Linked DNA regions of Oryzias latipes. The protein of the gene in region 1 interacts with the protein of each later gene in a biochemical or structural test. Links are inferred from orthologs where the notes say so. Each region holds a gene or a part of one and is shown on either strand. Other genes may lie near its edges.

Region 1 (4,339 bases):
ATGGATAGAGAAAGCGTGGTTTTCTCTCCTGTGAGGTTCCTGTCTACAGCAGTAAACAAAGAGCAGCAAAAATGTGCAATTCTATTTCATACTATTGGTTTTATCAGGACTATAAACAGGACAGATTTTCTGTAGATTCTGTAGATTAAATCTTCGGTTGACACTGAAAAAATAAAAATGAAATAAAAATCTATGGTTTTAAGCTAATAAACCTTACAATGCAGGTCATGTTACAGCTATGTCATTTTATAAGAGAGATCTGGTTTTTTCTTAAATTAAAATCAGATGAGAAGTTTAGAAATTAGACAAGGATTTGGTCATTTGAAGATTTTTGTTTTATAAAAATAAACTGATTTGTTAAAACAAAATTTATTCGTGAGAAAAACAATGGAACATCCCACGTAACAAAATAAAAGGTTTTTGTTGACTTGATTTAAAATATAATTTACATTTGGAGTCCATATTTCGTGCTCCAAATATGAATCACACAGAAGCAAGATTAATATTTCCATAGTTGTTACTCGAAATTTGAACTTCTGATTGTTTATGGAACTTACATAAATGCTGAATTGAATTCATGAAGGAGAAATTGTGAAAAATTTTCATTTATTCATTTATTCATTCATTCATTCGTTCGTTCATTCATTTGTTCATTCATTCATTCGTTCGTTCATTCATTCATTCGTTCATTCATTTGTTCATTCATTCATTCGTTCTTTCATTCATTCATTCATTCATTCATTCATTCGTTCGTTCATTCATTTGTTCATTCATTCATTCGTTCGTTCATTCATTCATTCATTTATTCATTCATTCATTCGTTAATTCATTCATTCATTCATTCATTCATTCATTCATTCATCTTCTTCCGTTTGCTCCCTTTCGGGGTCACGGGGCTGCCAGAACCTATCTCGGCCACTTGTGGGCGAAGGCAGGGGGCACCCTGGACAGGTCGCCAGTCTCTCGCAGGGTTGGAATAATTTTAATAATTTAAATTTGATTACAGCAACAACAACAAAAACTTACACTGATTTTATGAATGTTTATGACACAGTGGCCACTTATAATCCTTGTGGACAATGGGTTGATGTTAACCACAATGTAATTTGAGTAAAGGAAACCAACTAGAGTGACAAAAGACAGAAATCTAGTTCTCATCCCAGTAGAATAAAAAAAATCATCATGCAGAGGGGCGTTGATAAAAAAGGATCAACTCACTGCCAGGAGCTAACAGTTCATTTCACCTCCAGAACAGAGGGTGGCGCTGTTGCGCGGTAGAAGAGTTCAAAGCTTCCGCTGTTGCCGCTTTGCAGGAATCTGCACTGCAGACTTGACTGAGCGGACGGTAGGTGTTGAATGTAGTCGTTGATGTTAGAATGAAAATGTTTGCTTTTTTAATATTTATTTTGCATACGTACTTCGTGTCTTACTGGCGTTAGTTAGTTTAGCCTCAATGCGTCTGTCAACGTTTACACCGGTTGATGAATGAAGCTAACGTTAGCATACTAGCATTTTCGTTGTAGTTGTCTCAGTTGCAACTGATGATTCAATGTGGGATCAATTGGGGAAAAATATTGCATGGAGGATCACATTATTGCTTGATGATAGGAGCTGCACGTGGCTAGCTGAAGTATAAAAACGGTCAAACATTTCCCCCGTGACTTAGTAACGTTAGTGTTGTTATCGTTTCTCCCTGTGTGTGTGTCGGCGCACATATGTTTTTCTGTTTAGGGTTTCTTTTACGACACGCACGCAGGCAGCGGTTTACTGTAGCTTCCTGAACAACACTGTATGTTTTGATGTGACGCCTGCCAGTGATTCTGCGGTTGTTCAGAGCCACCTCTGTGTTTTACAGGCAACACTAAGGGACCAGGGCACACCTGAAGCTCGCAGGTAAAGCCCACGCGGAGCTGGAAGCTCGCCACTATGGCGGACATCAAGAATTTCCTGTACGCCTGGTGTGGAAAGAAAAAGCTGACTCCCAACTACGAAATCCGGGCGGCGGGCAACAAAAACCGGCAGAAGTTCATGTGTGAGGTCGGTCTGCATTCACAGCCAGCTGGTTTGTAACCAGACTCTCCCGTAACGTCTCTGTTTGCTCCTGAAGGTGCGGGTGGATGGCTTCACCTATGTGGGGATGGGAAACTCCACCAGCAAGAAGGATGCTCAGACCAACGCCGCCAGGGACTTTGTCAACTATCTGGTCCGAGTCGGGGAGATGAAGGCTGAAGAGGTTCCAGCTCTGGGGGTCAGAAAGCTTTTTTTTACGCTTTTTTAAAGGAGATGTAAAAACAAAGCAAACCAGAGGAACATCTTTCCAATCAATAGAGCATCCAGCTATGTTCAGGCCAGAACAGAAAACCATTTAGAAAGTCAAGATCCATAAAGACTGGGAGACTGCAAGGATTAGTCAAAAGTTTACCAGTGGGCAGCGAACACTTAACCGGAACTGACGGCCTTTTGTTGTTCTACCCAGGCCGTGGCTCCAGAACCCAACCAGCCCGAAGGACCTCCGGGAAGCTTCGGAACCCTCCCAGCCAGCGGGCCGCTGCCCCCCCACCTGGTGGTGAAGGTGGAGAAAGGTTTGAGCCGAACACACCTAACCTGCTGCTCCCTGACTTCAGTCCTCTTCATCCTGTGGTTTCTGTTTTCAGAGGCTGATGCCTTCATCAATGCACCTCCAGGACAGACTGAACAAGGGTTCCCTCCTAGAGGTGGCAATGGGGGAGGAGGAGGAGGGGCTGAGTGGGACAGAGGAGCCAACCTGAAGGAGTACTACGCCCGGAGGGATGAGCAGGAGGCTCAAGCGGTACTGGAGCCAGCTATGTGCCATGAAGCTGCTTTTCAAGAAGATCCCGGTCCTTTTGAGCTGTGTTGTCACATGTTGCAGTCACATGACTGTGACAACATTAGGCGGCTTCATAACAGGTGGGACTGCTCTGCCTTAGTACCGGTCCCACTAATGCGGCTCTCCTGTTGTAGACGCTGGAATCCGAGGAGGTAGACCTGAATGCAAACTTGCACGGAAACTGGACCCTGGAGAACGCCAAGGCCCGTCTCAACCGGTTCTTCCAGCAGGAGAAGATCACCTCCGAGTACACGTACAGCCAAGTGGGACCCGATCACAACAGGTCTGGATCAGCGCTCCCCTACAAGCCGTCTGACCAGATCCAGCCTGACGAGCCCAGGTCTCTCGTCAGTCTGGATCTGGTCTTTTCTGCTGTTCAGATCTGTCAGGTGGGGGTGGGAGAGTGGGGTATTGACAAATGAACTCTAATTAAAAAGCTGCAGCTTCTCGGGTTGGTAAATGTTTCCTCTGAAAGGGGCCACACTCCTGGGCCCGCCGCTCACTGGTAGCACCTGTGTGTTTTTCTGCCGGACTGCTGCAAACCCAGAGAGCTCCTGCGTGTGCCGGCTACACCGGAGAGCCCTCACAGCCACATGCTCAACTCAAAGCCTGCAGAGCGACACTAGAACTCACGACCACGCTGAGGAAATACATGGGGATGGCGTTTAGGTTCTCTAAAGCCCCCCCATGGGTGCAGCTCCGTGGTCTCTGGTCGTGATTTGTGGTGTTGCTCTTCATTGTAGGCTTTAAAACCTGAAAGTCTGGCAGAAAAACGCCCAGGTTTCTTTCTGAGGACACATCAGGTGAGTCTGCTCCTGAGGGATGCTTGGCTTTAGGCTTTTACTTTGAAAGGCACGGGATGTAACTCTGCCATGTTATTTGTCTGCAGGAGCTTCATAGCAGAGATGCAGCTGTTCGTGAGGAAGCTCGGCAGAAGTAAGTTTTGACATGTCTGTACATGAGACCACAGAGACGGTTCTGTGCTGAGATTCTTTACGCTTATTTTAGCAGAGCCAGTAAATAGAAATTGGTGCTTTCCTTAACAAATAGAAAACCTTTTCTCTTGTGTTTTAAGTATCAGAAAGCTTGTATTTTTTAGCATTTTGAAATTTTTCTTAAAACTAAATGACAAAAGACTAATACCGGCAGAAACCAATTCTTTTAATAAATATGAAACAAACGAATCACCCCTCAAATAGGAATAGTTTACTTTCTCCCGCCCCATTGTGCCTTCAACCCTGTTGAGGTGGATGCAACAAAAACCAATCGATTTTGATTCGTTACTGCTGTGCAGAATCCTACGGGTGATGTCAGAGATGACTCCGCCCCTTTTGTGCTGTGTTGTTTACAGAGATCACGGCCCGCGAACACGGATCTAACAAGAAGCTGGCAGCGCAGTCGTGCGCGCTGTCGTTGGTGCGACAGCTGTACCACCTGGGGGTGCTGGAGGCGTACACCGGGGTCACCAAGAAGAGGGAAGGCGAGACGGTG
Region 2 (3,007 bases), on another chromosome or scaffold:
ATTTTGACAAATATACTGAATAGCTGCAGAGGTCTTTGGGATTTTGGCTTCTTGGAGCCAACGGGTACTTCCTGTTTGGAATGCGAGGGGGGGGGGAGTCATTCGGTGCAGTTCTAATATACAGTCAAAGGTACAAATGCTTGTTTTTGTACCAAAACAAAATACTGACAGCATATCCAACACTTTTTGCAGAACTGGGCATGGAGCACTTCATGAGGAAGGTGGAGGCAGCTCACTGTTCAGCGTGTGATGTTTTCATTCCCATGCAGCCCCATCTGATCCAGAAACACATCAAGTCTCATGACCATAACTACAACCGAAAGGTATGTCACATCAAGCCTTTGAAGAGTTTGACAGGAAACCAACTACATAAAAGCATCACTCAGATCAGAAAAAATGCAGAGCAAAAGGATTTACACACAAATGATGTCCAATTAGAAAATTATCATGTTTAGACAGCTATTACAGACCAGCACATAGCTTTTTGGGTGAGTGCTACCTTATAACCACAGTAACTTGTTTCTCTGATATGCAAGAATGCGATTTGTCACATTTCCCCCGAGCGCGGCTAGCCCGCATCTCACCGCTCCCCCCAGAGGATGGGTCAAATGCAGAGAAGGAATTTCCCCATTGTGGGATAAAGTAAAATTACTATTATTATTACATTTTTAAGACTTCTAAAGCTGCATTCACACTGAACGCAAGTCGCACAGCCAATTTACGCATTGGTGGGGCAAATTCTGTCTCGGCATTCCTTTAGACCGTCTACCTGAAGGTACGACGACAGTGACTAACGTTTCTTATTCTTCTGTAAATGTTCAATCTGGAACTGTCCTATTTTAAGGGAATGATGGAACAGTCCAAGCGAGGATGTCTGTCAGTCGCTCGAAGCATTCTTAACCACAAACTGATTGGCAAGAAGCTGGAGAGCTACCTTAAGGTAAGTAGATCCCATCTGGCCTGTCACTGAAGAATGGAAAATGAGGAATCAAGTGAAGTGACATCTGCTTGACAATTCTGAATTATATTTTAAACCCATAGATGAAGACAAACAGTCCACTTTTTGTAGAAAAAAAAGCGATCCGAACCGAAAAAATAAATAAAATAAAGTGAATATGTTTCTTATGTGACCATGGTGTAAGCGGGATAATGGCCTTCAAAGTGTGCATTATCAGAAATAAATGCACTTCGCGGAAGCGTGCAGTAATTTCTGATAATGCACACTTCGTCAGCCATTAACCCTTACATACTCCTGTTAGTTTTCATTAACGAAACTTCAGATATTCGTTTTCTTTCAGGGTGAAAACCCGTTTGTTGGTAACCAGGATGAGCAGGATCCAGAGGACTCCATAGCGAACGAAGCCTCTGAGGTAACCAGTGAGGCAGCAGCTGGTCAGACAGAGGTCAAAGACGAACCTGTGCCTGAGGAAGAGACTGTCAAAGAAGAGATGGAAGAGGTGCAGATAGAACCGCCGGCAGCTACAGCTGCAGACCAAGAAGAAGAACGAGAGGGCAACATGGAGCAGGACGGAGACAAGGAGCTGGAGAATGCAGAAATGGAGGGTTTTGAAGTTGGAGAGGATGAAGATGAGGGATACATAGTACACAATGAGTTCGAGGAAGGGGGGTTCCGGGATCCTGACGAGGAGGAAGCGGGGGCCAATGTTGCCTAAGAAGACAAAGTTAACGCTTTATTTAATGTGCAACTTTTTGACCAGTATTTTGTCTCTTATCACCCCCCCCCCCAAAATCCTTCCTGTCTGCATCTGAGGGCCAGACAAAAACCAGTGAAGTTGTACCACATCAGCAGAACATTATGCAGTTTCAAGTGTAGCTTTGCAAAAGGTTGTCTGAGCAGCGGGGTGACATCTTATCAAAGGGATGCTGCATATCTGCTTTGAGGATGTTCATCCACTACAAAGAGGCCCATCCAGTCCTGCTTTTGCATAAACACATGCAAAAGTCCCTGCCAGGACCAGGCCCTTACTTTGGTTTTTGGGAATAGTGAATGTTTCCAACACTGTTAGTTTTATTGCTAAGATTAAAATTTAGGAATGCAAAAACACGAAGTAAAAGTATTGTCAACATTTACGTGAAAAACACAAATGCATGACTTCCCATCAATTAGTTGTAGATATTTTGGTAGACTCCTTTCTACATCTTAGACTGCCAGGCAAGAGCTCTTGCCTTTGTCTTTAAGTCTGTGTGCACTCTGTTCTTAACTCCAGCTGAAATGTTTGTGTTTAAAGCCATTTGTAAATTCTACTAAAAATGTAACTGTTGGGCCTGATTTCTGTGCCTTTTGTGAAGTGTTGGAAATCTTTAGAAATATTGAAATAATCTGTATTGTCTTAAGCCATTGCTTTCCCTCAGACATGAAACGGTGCCACTGTGTTCATTTGGATACAGTGATGTTTATTGACATGCCCCAAAATATTCCAATAAAGGATGTGGAGAAAATTGTTTTGTATTATTATTGTTTTGCTTGAAATGAGTGGCCGCACAATGTGAACATCATCTGATAACTTTCTGTAAATAACGTGGTTATAATATATCGATCAATATAGAATTTATATAGTTTATATAACTGGATGTCTTGCTGTCAACAAATTTAAAACATTTTAAACAATTATTGATGTTTTTGTCAATTCAGGTAACATAAACTTCACCTAAATGCACTTTTGTTTAAATTATCAATTTAAAATATAGCTTTTAAAGTTTGTTCTTGCTTTTAGTGTCAATCTTTTCTTTTGTCTATTTTAAAATATTAACTATTTTTCAGGATTTCACAGTTCTAACAGCAATCCGACGTGAATACCCTGTCATACCACTAGACGGCGCAGTTGCGTTCTGTTACGTAACGTCACTGGGCTATCAGCTGAACAGTTTTTTTTATTTTTTTTACATTTTGACTTTCGTGTTTAATATTAGGATTTAGGGTTGATTTGATGAAAAACTGCAACAAAAAATTGGGTAAATTGATAAATTTTTACGCATTTCTTTCACA

What was found.
Region 2: the proteins of dhx9 (region 1) and A-kinase anchor protein 8-like form a complex in vitro, tested with the Homo sapiens proteins (2 studies listed by BioGRID). The link is inferred for Oryzias latipes from reciprocal best matches to the Homo sapiens genes DHX9 and AKAP8L.

The regions. Positions count from the first base shown.
Region 1 is NC_019875.2:12,671,540-12,675,878, reverse strand, and holds the start of dhx9 (ATP-dependent RNA helicase A), read left to right. Parts: upstream 1-1,247; 5' UTR 1,248-1,345; intron 1,346-1,855; 5' UTR 1,856-1,926; coding exon 1,927-2,037; intron 2,038-2,107; coding exon 2,108-2,248; intron 2,249-2,476; coding exon 2,477-2,582; intron 2,583-2,654; coding exon 2,655-2,809; intron 2,810-2,982; coding exon 2,983-3,131; intron 3,132-3,591; exon of another isoform or gene 3,592-3,651; intron 3,652-3,737; coding exon 3,738-3,784; intron 3,785-4,199; coding exon 4,200-4,336; intron 4,337-4,339. UniProt on the Homo sapiens protein: Multifunctional ATP-dependent nucleic acid helicase that unwinds DNA and RNA in a 3' to 5' direction and that plays important roles in many processes, such as DNA replication, transcriptional activation, post-transcriptional RNA regulation, mRNA translation and RNA-mediated gene silencing.
Region 2 is NC_019859.2:24,048,170-24,051,176, reverse strand, and holds the end of A-kinase anchor protein 8-like, read left to right. Parts: intron 1-192; coding exon 193-323; intron 324-844; coding exon 845-940; intron 941-1,298; coding exon 1,299-1,673; 3' UTR 1,674-2,462; downstream 2,463-3,007. UniProt on the Homo sapiens protein: Could play a role in constitutive transport element (CTE)-mediated gene expression by association with DHX9. Increases CTE-dependent nuclear unspliced mRNA export.